Caenorhabditis elegans: one gene and its partner. The protein of the gene in region 1 interacts with the protein of each later gene in a pairwise test. Each region holds a gene or a part of one and is shown in the gene's direction. Other genes may lie near its edges.

Evidence for each region. Proteins that work in one complex are often made in the same cells at the same time.
Region 2: the proteins of ran-1 (region 1) and samp-1 interact in a two-hybrid assay, tested with the Caenorhabditis elegans proteins (one large-scale study listed by BioGRID).

Annotation. Positions count from the first base shown.
Region 1 is NC_003281.10:10,746,081-10,752,133, reverse strand, and holds ran-1 (GTP-binding nuclear protein ran-1), read left to right. Parts: upstream 1-4,405; 5' UTR 4,406-4,407; coding exon 4,408-4,525; intron 4,526-4,573; coding exon 4,574-4,699; intron 4,700-4,746; coding exon 4,747-4,868; intron 4,869-4,915; coding exon 4,916-5,104; intron 5,105-5,151; coding exon 5,152-5,244; 3' UTR 5,245-5,553; downstream 5,554-6,053. Other genes in the region: enu-3.6 (ENhancer of Uncoordination), read right to left, coding at 430-564, 613-759, 808-1,368, 1,530-1,646; dkc-1 (Putative H/ACA ribonucleoprotein complex subunit 4), read right to left, coding at 2,206-2,929, 2,979-3,457, 3,500-3,586, 3,645-3,692; rib-2 (Exostosin-like-3 homolog), read right to left, coding at 5,609-5,795, 5,848-5,999. UniProt on the Caenorhabditis elegans protein: Ran GTPase system comprises ran-1, ran-2 and ran-3 and is essential in nucleocytoplasmic transport. Ran-1 is a GTP-binding protein that mediates the interaction between mitotic chromosomes and kinetochore microtubules.
Region 2 is NC_003280.10:11,300,026-11,308,111, forward strand, and holds samp-1 (Transmembrane protein 201 homolog), read left to right. Parts: upstream 1-2,865; coding exon 2,866-2,927; intron 2,928-2,980; coding exon 2,981-3,231; intron 3,232-3,282; coding exon 3,283-3,802; intron 3,803-3,848; coding exon 3,849-3,927; intron 3,928-3,976; coding exon 3,977-4,104; intron 4,105-4,156; coding exon 4,157-4,720; intron 4,721-5,183; coding exon 5,184-5,346; 3' UTR 5,347-5,661; downstream 5,662-8,086. Other genes in the region: saps-1 (Serine/threonine-protein phosphatase 6 regulatory subunit), read left to right, coding at 1-188, 339-586; raga-1 (GTP-binding protein), read left to right, coding at 1,339-1,481, 1,537-2,145, 2,193-2,283, 2,334-2,429; rsf-1 (Ras association domain-containing protein 1 homolog), read left to right, coding at 6,393-6,432, 7,415-7,502. UniProt on the Caenorhabditis elegans protein: Plays a role in nuclear migration in hypodermal cells.

The DNA of each region.
Region 1 (6,053 bases):
TGAAGAACATCGAGAACAAAACTCATGGTGCATCGACTAACAAATTTTTCGGCCAAAAAAATCTGATAAAATATGATGGCAAACAGACTTCCTAGAAACACCTGAATTTCGCCCGTAAAAAATGAGTGCGCCTTTAAGAGCTACAGTAACCCACTAAATCATTAAACTGAAAGTTCCTTGATGTCGAAAGAGAAACAAAATTTGACAAAAAAAAATTTATTGTCAGAGAAAAGTAATAGAAGTGAAATTGTGTGGGGAAATAAATACGGACGGGGAGTTTGAAAAAAGAATGGGACTATACGAGGTCATAAATAATACAATTGTGGGGAACGATGAGCATAGAAAAGGGGAAATGGGGCTCCATAAAAAAAATGAAGGACCTAAAAACGGGGGAAAATCACGAGAGGCGGTCGGGGGCTCAGAAGAACTTCAATCGTGTGGCTTGTCCACAGTGACGAACGCTTCCAGCGCTGCTTGTTTCGATGTCGACTCCTTCTTCTTCTTCTTAATCAAGGACGGTGGGAGCGACGTATTTTCCGGGGTGCCTGGCATTGGCGATTGCTTCTGAAAATTTGAAATTTTAGATAAAAACATCATGAGATTTAAGCTAACCGGAGTCTGGAGCTTCTCCTTGGTGGCCTTTTCGGTGACTGGAAGCATCTGAGCTTGTTGGAGCAGTGGGACCAAGTTCGTCAAATCAGTGGGCAGCTTCGGGGCTTTGCGCTTCGACGATTCAGCCGCCATTGATCTTCCCTTAATCTGAAAACAAAAATCGTTGTGAGACCCAGCGTGTGCCTTTAAACTTACATGAGATCCCGGTGTGAGGAGAGCGTCGGTTTTCGGCGTTTCCTTGGTGGGTTCTGGCAGCACTGTCTTCTGTTGTGGCTCCAATTTCACAGAGAACACGTCCATCTTCATGTGCACCGGTGACGTCAATTCAAGCTTCAGCTCAAGACGGGCATCGCTGAAGATCTCCTTCGCCAAGGTCTCCGATGAGCAAACGAACGGCGGTCCATCATCAAGATATCCGTGCAGGAAAACCTTCTGCTCGGTCATTTTCTCCACATGATGTTGCACGAGCTCCAAAGCGTACCGCGCCTTTTCCTCTGTCGTCACCAGCGGCGCAGGGAGATCCAAATCATTGATGAGCGAAATGAGCTCCTTTCCACGTCCCCAATTGTCGGCGATCACTTGCAAGTGACAGCTCATTGCTTCTTCCTTTTGAGCGGTCTTGGTCCGACTCTCGTATGGTCCGTTGGTCGAGCCTGCTCCGAGGGCTGGTGTGATGGGCGGGGCCACCGCGGATCGTCGTTTCTCCATCACTTTTGTGACGTTTCCATTGGGAGTCTTGATCTCTTCTACCACATACTGAAATTTAAAACTGCGTTTTTTCAATGCTCTTTCAATGCTAATAATTCCGTTTTTACGTCGTGGCCGCGAAATGCGAAAACTCGGCCACCTTCAAATATCTTGGCCGAGCTCTCGCTTTTTCTAGGCCACGTTGCAAAAAAATCGATAATAAAACGTACCGGATTCGCGGCAATTCCATAAGCCAACCGCCGGCGTTCCTTCTCCTCATCCTTGTGCTGCTGATCGTCTTGTTCTTCTCGCTTTGCCAATGAAGACAAAATACGCCAAATACACATTTTTATGTGACGCGTGTGTCGGAGAGAAACCGACTTCACAAACTAATTTAAGTTATAATTTGTTTATTTCGGGGCCTATTTCGCAACCACCGCACACTTTTTTCGCAAGCCTCGCACGTTTTTTCCATGATATTGTTGCATTTTTTCAAAAGAAAAAACGTGTGCGGTGGTTGCGAATAGGTCCCCCCCTGCATCCTGTTTTGGTGGGGCCTCGTAAATTCACGTCGGCCACGTCAATTTATTTTTCGAATGAATTGTTTTCTTTGCTAAAAGAATGGTTTTCCTCATTTAAAAATCTAAATGTTCTTTTTAAAGAAAAAAAAATAATTTTTTCGACGTCCGATCGTTGTCGACACTGCCTGGAAACTCCTAAATTATGTTATTTGATCTCTACACGTTTTTTCTTTCGAAAATCCGATTTATATAAAGTTCAAATGTTCAACAAAATTGGTACAACAAGGAAAACGATGTTTAGAATGAATAACAACAAAAAGATTTTTGAACAACAAGTAAATAGTCAACAGAGGTAATTTAAAAAAGAAAAAACATAAAAATGAGCTTAATCGCTATCACTATCACTCGACTCTTGCTTCTTGGACTTTTTGGATTTCTTCTTCGGTGCCTCCTCCTCTTCCTCGTCTGGCGTCTCCTCTTTCTTGACTTCTTTCTTCGTCGAAGTTTGAACGTACTCCTTGGCCCACGATTTTGGAGTAGTGTCATTTGGTTTTCCGAATTTGTCTAGAAGTCCGTCCTTGACCATTTGCTTCTTCTTGGATGCAACCGGTCCAAGTCCCCACTTTCTTCCGTACACATCACGCTCCATAATGACACGCTTCGACTTGGCAACGACTCCGTGATCGACTGAAGCGATCGTTGATGTGTTCATCTGAGCAATAGCGATGCAGATGGCTTCTCCCTTCGTCGACATGATGACGATCTCCTTGCCAACCTCGATGTCATCGTCGTAACGAAGAATTCCGGGAATAAGGATCTTGGCTCCGTAGCAGATCGCGTTGATGCAACTGTCCTTGACAACAACTCTCTTGTGCTGGGTGAGAAGAGCCTCAAGTGGACGAACGATGTGTCTCATGTAGCTCTCGTCTTTCTGGGTGTCTAGGAGATACTGAGCATCGAGAACGTCGTGCATTGTGACCATATTCTCGTTTTCATCGCAGATTCCGGATCTGTTTCTGCGAAGCTCTTGCATTTGACCTCCGCATCCGAGGATGAGACCGAGATGCACACAAATTGTACGAACGTAGGTTCCCGACTCGCAGATGCAGCTGAAATTAAATGAAAACTAGAAATTAGATTTATTATAAGGATTCTTACTTGAAAATTCCCATCTGTTGAGCTGGATCATACTCGATGAACTTGTTCTCGTAAACGGTACGAATACGAAGCTGACGCTTGACAGCTGAGATCAGTGGTGGGCGTTGGAAGAGGGCTCCGGTGAGCTTCTCGAGGGCTTGCTTCACCTTGCGATCATCCTCAACTTCCTCGTGGAGCTTGAAGATGCAGATGTATTCCTTTCCAGCTCCTTGCTGCGACTTGGCCAAACGAGTGGTACGGTCGATACAAACGATCAGACATCCCGATACTTTTGGATCGAGTGTTCCACTGTGTCCGGTCTTCTCGCAACGAAGAATTCTCTTGATCCAGGACACGACTTCGTGAGAAGATGGGTTCGATGGTTTGTCAAGATTGAAGAATCCAGACGAAATGTAGTTCTTGATGTCACGCTTTAATGGTGATACTCCCTCGACGTGTGGTGTGTAGTGATTGGTGCGCACATTCAATTTGTCGTAATTCTGAAATAATAATTTAATTTTTAAATGAGATCACTCAACTACCTTGAGCAAAAGTGGCCACTGGGAAGCATCGAGCTTGGCGGTTTCGTTCGAGGATGGAAGTTGGAATGATCCCTTCTGTTGAGCCTCCTGAAATAATGAAAATGTACTCAATATTTAATAAATGGCTTGAAAATTAAAAACTAACAGCTAGATCGTCTCCCTCAAGCTTGGAACGCTTATCCTTCTTGCCCATGATGAGATCTTCGCTGAAAAAATAACATTATTGACAAAATCCAACAGTTCTGAAGCGATTAACAAGAGTTTAAAGATTAATAAGGTTCTAATGAACTCCAAATATGCCTCATAAGCTCGTGGAAAGTGTCAAGAAGCAGAAAACCTGCCAGAAAACTATCGATTTTTTGAAAAACGAGAGAAGAAACCCCCATTGGCAGTGTGCCAGACGAAAGAGACACAGGCTGCGTGTGTGCCCCTATGCCTCAACACACACGGGGTTCTACGCAAAAACATTTTCGAATTTTGTTCATTTTGGCGCGCAAATCTGGCTTGTTGCGCCATTTTCGAATACTTTTCTTGTCCCTGGCGCCAAGTTTTGTCATCTTTTTTCGGTTTTTTCATTCATTTTGATGCATTTGCGTTGTTTCCTCAGTTGGTTCACTGTAATTTTCGAGTTCTCTCTGATTTTGCTCCATGAGCAAGCTCTGATCACGAGATAATCTCTCTGCTCAGCTTCACGTCTCTTCTAAAACTTTTTTGCTCAATTCTAAATACACATTATCCGAACATTCTTGTTTTTGAAATATTTATCCACCGCTTCGTGATTTTCAACTGAAGCTTCGGTAATACGTAGAATTTCGCAATAATTCGCATTTTCGAAAAGTTTCGTGCTATTTTCCTCTTGACAATCTTTTTCCTTCGTATTTTATTCTCCTCATCTCCTCATTTCAGTCATGTCTGGTGGAGACGGCATCCCAACTTTCAAGCTTGTCCTTGTCGGAGATGGAGGAACCGGAAAGACTACCTTCGTTAAACGTCACTTGACTGGAGAGTTCGAGAAGAAGTATGTTGGTAAGTAATTCAGGAATTTGTTTCTCCCAGTTCAATAATTGTTTTCAGCCACTCTCGGAGTCGAAGTTCACCCACTTGTCTTCCACACCAATCGCGGACAAATTCGTTTCAACGTTTGGGACACCGCCGGACAGGAGAAATTTGGTGGTCTTCGTGACGGATACTACATCCAAGGTATGTTAAAATTCGAAATTATAACTTCTGAAATGCCCAATTTCCAGGACAATGCGCCATTATCATGTTCGATGTTACCGCTCGTGTCACCTACAAGAATGTCCCGAACTGGCATCGCGATTTGGCCAGAGTATGTGAAAACATTCCAATTGTTCTCTGCGGAAATAAGGTAATCACTAGCTGAAACTGGCCAATATATTCAATTACAAATTTCAGGTCGACGTCAAGGACCGTAAAGTGAAGGCCAAGACCATCACCTTCCACCGAAAGAAGAACCTCCAATACTACGACATCTCCGCAAAGTCGAACTATAACTTCGAAAAGCCATTCCTCTGGCTCGCCAGAAAGCTGCTCGGAGATCCAAACCTCGAGTTTGTCGCAATGCCAGCTTTGGCTCCTCCAGAGGTATTTTTAAATCCATGTTCTTTCATAAGCAATATTTTAATTTCCAGGTTCAAATGGACCCAGCCATGATTGCCGAATACGAAAAGGATCTGGACAACGCCGCCAAGGCTGATCTTCCAGATGACGACGATGATCTTTAAACACTTTAACCTTTCAAAATCCTTGTTTTCAAATCTCACAAAACCATCCCACCTAAATTTACCATTTTATACATTTCATATGCCAATTAATTTCTTAACTTAAAAATAATTTGCATACCCAACCGGTGTCTACAATTCAAAGTGCTGGCTTGGGTAGAAGAAGGATTGTACATTTGCTGTTTGATCGTTGTGCGAATGAATTGAAGAAATGGTTGGCTCATCACTCTCAATCTCCATGATTTATTTTATATTTTATGTTCGACTAAAAAATTTTAAACAACTTGTTGCAATAAATTGTAGCACCATTCGACAAGTGAATTATACCGGCAATAGGGAAAGTGAGCAAATGCAGAGGGGGATTTTTTTACACATATTTAAAGCACTTTTGATGATTCTGTGGGAGACGCGTCTTGAAAAGAATCGAGTCAGCACGGAATTGGGAGAATTTCAGAGGATTGTAGCCGTAGATTTTCGTGAACAATCGCATACATTCGTGGCGTTTCTCGAAATGTGTCCCTTCTTTATACAAGCTTTCCGTGCAAGTTGGACATCTGAAAATTGAAATTATTATTAGATTAGACTCATTTAAAATCTGGAAATTACTTGAGCGTCCATCGAGAAGTCGTTTTGATTGGCGGTTTTCGTGTGAGATGAGAAACTAAATAATTCATAGCAATGTCCTCGCAGTTTTTGATGCTATTCACATGTTCACGAATTTCAGCTGGCATTTCGTAGGTGTAAGCAGTCAAATAGTTCTGAAATTTTTAACGTTTTAGATTTTATACGGGTTTTACCCAGACGCGGGAATT
Region 2 (8,086 bases), on another chromosome or scaffold:
TGTCGTTGCCAGTACGTATCCACAACAGACAAACGGGAATCAGGCTTTTCTAGAACAGGAAGAAGGAGACGGGGAGTGGGTGTGGCCAACTGTGCCACCACTCGGGGAAACCGAAGTTGTCACTCAGACTGGACATCGTCCGGAAAATAACTGGGTTGACGAGACGGCACCTGACTTTTCACATTTAGGTAATAAAGCTGGACATGATAGGTGGGATTGCAGCCACCATCAAGTCTGTAGATTGTTGCACGTCGGTTTCCCTTTCCGATTTCCTGGAGTAAGCCATCCCACCTATGTTGAACCAATTTTATTACTCAATTTAAAATCAATGTTTTCAGACATGGCACCCCCAAAGGAAGACGATATGTGGGCCGATTTCTCCTCGTTCCCAACCATCAGTCCGACTGCAGCTGCAAACTCGGCGTCGTCCAGTAGCTCCGATGCGTGGCCTGGATCAGACATTCATCTTCAAGGGGAAGCGTCGGATTGGCCGTTGAACAACTCGCACGAATCGAAAGCATCCGACCCGGTAATGGTTGGACTTGCTGCGAGTATATCCCATCCTGGAGACAGCAGCGAGGCTTGAAGCCCTTGCAACTCGTGTCATCCCCAATTCGTTTCACATCCCAATTATTTTCTACATTTTTCTGTTTATAGTCTTGTATGCAATTCACTTCGAACTTCCCCCTCATTTTCAACCAGAATTCCAAAATTTTTCTGTGTGTGTGTGTTTCTTGCAAATTTCACTTATTAATTTATCAATCTCGATTTTGCGGTTCTTTCCCATTCTCCATTCGTTGTTCATGTTTCCCCATATTCCCACCGACTTTAAAACCGTTGCATCCGATGCACTTAGAATTTTGTTTCCGAATTTTCCGTGGCTTCTCATCTTTGCTGGTTTCTTCTAAAGAACATTATCTTATCATTTAAAAAAAGTGAGCGCCCCCAGTGATAAGAAGCACGGCTTATTTGTTACTTCTTCTAATACATAATATATGATTCTCGGGCAACTTTTAATTTGGTCCAATCTTTTCCCCCTCTACTCTTTTTCTTGTTTAGGTGGTTATTGAAATTCAATTATTCTGATTTCACCTTCATTGATTGTTTATCTCGTGTTAGTGAGTATCAGATTTTCCATTCCATCCTATTTCACAATTCGTTGCATTCAATAATAACTTCCCACTATTTCTTGTATTTCTTCCTCTTTCATGAGTTTATAAATTCTTTTTAAAAAATTATAGCTTGATTGAAAATTTGGATGTTTTATGATCATTGTTCTAATATCTTAGTTTTGTTTCAAAGATCTTCAGAAAAAAACATAATTTATTTTCAGAAAAGATGTCTTCAAAACGAAAAGTTCTTCTGATGGGCAAAAGTGGATCCGGCAAGACTTCGATGCGTTCGATCATATTTGCCAACTACATCGCCAGGGATTGTTCGCGTCTCGGGCCAACAATCGAAGTTGAGCATGCTCATGTCAAGTAAGGGATCAATTCTGGATCAATTATCAAAAGAACACAATTTTTCCTTTTCCAGGTTCCTCGGAAACATGGTTCTTCACTTGTGGGATTGTGGTGGTCAGGAATCATTCATGGAGAACTTCCTCGTCTCGCAAAAGGATCAGATCTTCAAGAATGTTCAAGTGCTCATATACGTATTCGACGTGGAAAGCCGAGAGTTCGAGAAAGATCTCAGATATTACCAGTCTTGTCTCGAAGCTCTTCTCCAAAATTCACCGAATGCTCAAGTCTTCTGTCTCATTCACAAAATGGATCTGATCGAGGAGGACAAACGTGAAGAGACGTTCAAACGTCGTGAAGCAGATGTACTGCGATACAGTGAACTTGCAGCGACTCCACTTCAGAATGAACGGACGAACGCTGTTTGTCAATGCTTCAAGAGCAGTATTTGGGATGAGACACTCTACAAAGCGTGGTCCGCGATAGTCTATCATCTGGTGCCAAACGTCGGAACCATGGAGGACAAGCTGAAGAAGTTCGGAGCTATTTTGGATGCCGATGAAGTTATTCTATTCGAGAGAGCGACGTTCCTGGTTATTGCGCATGCTGTTCTCCGAGAGCATAAGGATCCACATCGATTCGAGAAGGTTTCAAACATCATAAAGCAATTCAAGCTTTCATGCACGTAAGTTACATCGAAACAGATTAATTCAAGCTTCATCTTCCTTTCAGAAAAATGGGGTCCAAGTTGGATTCGATTCAAGTCCGAAACAGTCAATTCTCCGCATTCATCGACTCGTTCACCCAGAACACTTATGTTATGGTAAAATCTCAAATAAAATGTATTTTAAAACACTATTTTATTTTGTTCAGATCGTGATACCCGACGGCAACGCATCGGCTCCAATGATCACAATGAACGTGAAGAACGCGAGGAAGGTGTTCGAGGCGATCGAGACGAAAAGCTAGACGAATTTGAATATTTCACCGAGTTCTTGCCCCGCATTCCAGTTATTTTCGTTTAGTTACCATCCCATATCCCATGTTGCTGTATTATAATGCTAAACTGATTTATTTAAATCCAACTGCAAAATTGTTCAACTCTATATTTTTCACTATATTTCGTAATTCACCGCTTAGATTTTCCGTTTCGCCAGTGCTTTTGCGAAGTTTTTCGTTTTTTTTGTTTAATTCTCCCCGTACCATCCAAATCCGATTCTTTGCGATAGTCATCATCGAAAAAACCTATCGTTCGTGTTCTTGTTCTGTATTTGTATATGAATTGTGCTATATTTTCATTTGGAATTTAACTGATATTTTCTCGTTTAATTAGTAATTTGTTATCAACAAGTCTGCCTATTTTAATCTATGTTTAAAAAAGTATAAAATTTCAATATAAATTCAGATGGAGGTGGCTGCTGCGGTCGGTGTGATCGCTTCAGTTCCGATCCTTTATAAGGCTATAAGGTAATGTTTTTCTTCTTAATTTGCAAAAAATTAATAATTATACATATTTTCAGACCTCGGATAAAGACATCGGTGGAGTGCTGGTTTTGCCGCAAAAGCACGAAGGTCGAATACCAGCAAAGGAATAGCTTCACCTGCCCGTCATGCGAACAATACAACGGATTCACCGAAGACGGAGACTATAACCGTCGGATTCCTGGACAAGCGTGGACTACACCCAAGAGATATTGTGAGCCGGGGAAAATGCAGTCAGAGAAGCCGAGCACATTTTTGGATCGATTTGGCGGGGTGAACATGAGTCCTAGTGAGTTTAATATCCTTTTTTTATAATTTATGAGTTAAATTAAAATTCCAGAAGCTTCTAACGGTCTCTGCTCGGAATGCAACCTCGGCCAGGAGATCATAATGAACAAGGTCGCAGAATTCGAGCCCATTGATGAGGATCGATGGAACGAAGAGCTCGAGGATTATCGATACAAACTGGAAAGAATGTACCAGCTGTGTCCGAGATGTACAATTCAAGTTCATGGAAAGCTGGAGGAGGATAAGAAGAAATACTCATATCTTCTGAAAGTGAAATATAAGCTGAAACATGCAATTGGATCTACTCTACGAGAAGTGATGAACAATCAGAAACGATCGCGGAGATTCTTCTTCGCCGGTGGAAGTACATGTGAAGCTCTTCATTTTGGATGCCTCATCTCTTCAATTATTCTCTTTTTGGCGAATATCGACTTCTTACAGCAAGATGCAGGAGCATCGCTGATCAATTTGCCAAAGGCTCTTCAAGATATTCTGCCAGAAGTTTATAAATATTCCTTCGTCATCAATTTTCTGATCTTCACTACACATTTGATTGCTGCATTTAATAATAAGTAAGTTTCATTCTACAATACAAAAAAACTGTAATTTTAATTTCAGATGCCGAGTTACTCTTCCCGACCTGCTGCTGCCCATCCTTCTGATCCTCGCAATGCTAACAGTTTTGACTTCAAGTGATGTGAGTTTCAAAATATACCCTTTGCAAGTTTTACACCTCTTTTTTTCAGAATTTATCACAAGATGTCGCTCTTGTCAGAGGTGCATGTGCTTCGTTTTCAACGATCCTTTCAATGGCAGTGACACTTCTTCCAAGGAAAAAGCTGCATAAGAAACGACCGAATAAGATTGTTTCAAGGTTAAATAAATATTTTATTTTTAAAAATTCCTTCAACTTTTTCAATTTTCAGTGCCTTCTCTGTTGCGTCAACTCCGATCTCTCAATGCTCTTCACAAAACAGTCGAAACGCTTCACTTCTCGATCATGACCACACGATTCTTCGAAGATCTCCACATACGCCATCAGCAAGCCCTCCAGCAATGAATTCCTCTCCACCATTGCTCCGTGAAATAACAAATGGTCCAGTGTGGTCTGCAATGAGAAGTCGGGAGAACAAGGAAAATATGCAAAGTTATCAGACTAAACCTAACAATCACGTGGAATCAATGGATTGGGATGATAGTGAATCGATGGCGGCTCAATCGGTTGCTCAATCAACTCGTTCCAGTCATTTCAAGCCAGGACTTTTATCCAGAAATATCAATGAAAGAATGACTGCTCAACAGCTTACACCCTCCGTGGCAAATTTGAATCTTGATACGAGATCTGTCGATTCTCCAAGTATATTCTCAAGACAACACCGGCAAATGGCTCAGCAACAGAATCACACACCGACTAGATCATTGTTCGGGCCACCACGATCTATGGTAGCTTCACAATACGACAGGAGCCACTACATGGCACCGGAAGCACAGTAAGATTTGTTGAAACTGAAATATTTATTAAAACTTAACCCTTTAATCTTGAACAATCAGTTATTTTTTGTTTAGAATGATAATTAGAGAAGCAATAGTGTGATAGCATTTGTGCAGGATAATTGTATATTAGACTTTTAAAAACTTAGAACTGATTGGACGTTGGACTTTGATAAATAATATGTGGAATTTTGGTTAGACCTTTCAAGTCACAGGTCACGTAAGCTCAGATGAAAACTAAAATTAATTTAAAAAGAATTGAAAATTCCGTTATTATTCAATTTAGATTTAAAATTTGAAGATTAGATTTTCGTTTCGAGACCGTGGTTACGGTATTTTGGAGCCAATAATATTTTGCAAGAACCAGCATTTATTGAAAAGATTGACTAAATTCTGTTTGGTTTTTCTACGTTTTTCCTTCTATTAACCTTCAAGATTCCCATCAATTTTATTTATTTACAGCACTCGACCCGGTTCAGTGTTCACATCGGTCTCGCAACAAGACGGACACTCAACGGTCAGCGGCGCGTGGCAGTGTCGCGTCATCGGCATCCTCTTCGCGCTGGTTTTTATCGTACTCATCATGCAGATCGGACTGTTCTACGTTCTTTTCACCCGCAATTGATTCGACCTTATTATATATGTTGTTTTCTATGTTTCATCTCTCTCCTCATCATGCCCTATTCACATTTTTGTTGTTTGATCCTGTGTGATATTAGTTTCAAGTTATTTGGGTTCCCAGTGCTCTTTTACTATTTGATGTGTGTCTAGCTCGTTTTGTTGAATTTATTCTTTCAAATATGCCCCTTTTCACCCTCTCTGATGATCTCACTTCGTTGTTAAATACCTTACTACTTCAATTTCTACTACATGAAACCCATCTACATATACATCTCTCTCCAGTACAAGTCTATTGACAAAATGAATAATTCCCGAGAAAAAAGAACGCGCAAAAGATGAGAAATGGATTGCAACAACATCAACAAACAAGGCAGCTTCCCCATCCCGCCTGCTGCGCACCACACAATTGCTCCACTCCTGCGCTTCTCCCGGATTGCACACTGTCTGGGAGTGGTCGAATCTCTGCGTCTCGCCAATTCACACACTCTTCGTGTCCTCTGTTTGTCCGCCTGACCTCACTTTAGTAGATGTCTCTTTTGAATACCAGTTTTCTATGCCCAAAATTGGGAAAACTTTGAAATTGGCAAATTGTAAGGTTTTTCACAAAACTTAAAAAACACTTCTATATTTACTGCTAATCAAATAAAAAAATCTTAAAAACCACCGGTGGCGTAGTGGTTAATTATTTTGCTGCCGCTCAGACGACGCCAGTTCGACTTTTACCATCTTCTGCCACAATTACGGTTACTCGTATTCATCTTCTCACAATTATCCACACCGTCATTTGTTCCTTTTCTCTTCCGTATCTCATATTTTCCTCCCTTTTCTTCTCATATTTCATTCACTTGTGATCCTCCCTTCCTCTTTTCAATGGACGAGTCTTGCAGCAAAAACCAAAACTCTTATGAATTTTTCATGCCATATCCCTTTTAAATAGCTCAATTCTCGGAAGAAACCGTGTGTATGTACTTATGCTGCTGACTTTGACTTTAAATTTGTACTTTTGAATATGGAATGTATGATGATTTCAGATCAAAACTGTATGTGCACATGCTTCGGTCCGTTGTAAATAATAATGATAAAGCTAAAGGTGAGTTTTCAAATTTTTAATTTTTGTTTTTATTAAACAACAGGAAAAATTTTAAAGGTTGTGTCAAAACTGTCAGGCATTTTGACTTTTCTAGGCCACTGACCATATTAAATGGTTGAGAAAACATATATATATAAAAGTTAGATTGAAAAAGAAAGTTTTAGTGAGTTGCCTAATTTTCCAAAACGTTTTTGTAAATTGCCAAATTTTTGCCGATATTTTGGCAAATTGCCAATATTTCTAGCAGGGATTTGGTAAACTGCCAATTTTCCAAAACAAATTGGCAAATATTTTAAAAGTGAGGACTATTTGGGTAATGTCGAGAATGTCTGCAAATTTGAACCCATTAGAATGATTATATGATAACAATTTATACATGGTAAAATACAAAACTCGTAGAAAAAAAGAAATTTTTTGTTCAACTTCCAAAATTATGATCATTTTTTGACTGTAAATAACAATATTTGAAAAATTTGTTGAAAAGTTTTGCTAAATTATTTTGGGCATCTTAGACGTCTGTCGACACCATGACTATAACTACAACTACTACAACTACAACTATAACTACAACTATAACTATAACTATAACTACTATAACTTACTTATGTTAGACACTATGGACACTATAACCGGTTTTAACAATTTTTCGACTTACGATACTCCTTCCAATTCTCAACTGCGGTCCTGACATTATCTGTTCAAAAAACGAATCATAAACTGGAACTCCACCAATTTCCAACTTTAAAGTTTATCAACAAAAAAACAGTAGCTCAGATCTATATCAAAAATTGCACGCGATGAGTTTCTGCACAACGAGCACGTTTCGTTTACAACATTTCACTCTCCTCATTTTTTATTGACAATCAGTTGAAAGTGAAGTGACAAGAGAGAAAAGAGAACACTCTTTCTGTGTGGGGCAAAAGATAGCAAAAAGCCTATAGATATCAGTGAAAGCAAAGAAAAAAGAAGAAGAAGTTTTCAGAGAGTGAACAAAGTGTCCGTGTGGCGACTGACGACCCAACCTACCAATCATACGCCTTCCAACCGTCGACATCTTCATCTAACATTAGGTATGTGAAATCTGATTGAATTTCTAATGTCTTATAATGTCTGCGTATCCCCCGCGTCCCATCCAACTTATCGATCCTCGGTTCTACTCGATCATAAGGTCGTTTCTTTCGTTTTCACTTTTTTCCAACTGGACTTCAGGTGCTCAATGGATCTCGTTTGTCATGTTTTAATGGGTACACAACTTAGTCTATTTAGATTTATTCCCATAGTTAGGCCGAACTGAAGTAGATGCTAACGATGCGTCGATGCACCATGTGTTACTCCCAACTTTGACAGCTCATACCTCCACTATCTTTGGTTTTATCAAAAAACTGTCAACTAACAAAATACTTATTGGTTGTTTCTCTATAACTTTGTAGTTTTAATTTTTTTAATATCTTTAAATTGAATTGAGATATAAGTCACCAAAGTACAGTGGCCTAGCCACAAATTTTATATTTTCTGGGAGTTTATATAATATCCAAAAAGATTTGCATCTGAGCTGATAATCTTCGGCTATATTGACGTATATGCAGTGCCAAGCACACTTTTTTTCTGGATTCAAATCTCTCTTGCAAGACGTTTGCGGAAATTGATGAAAATG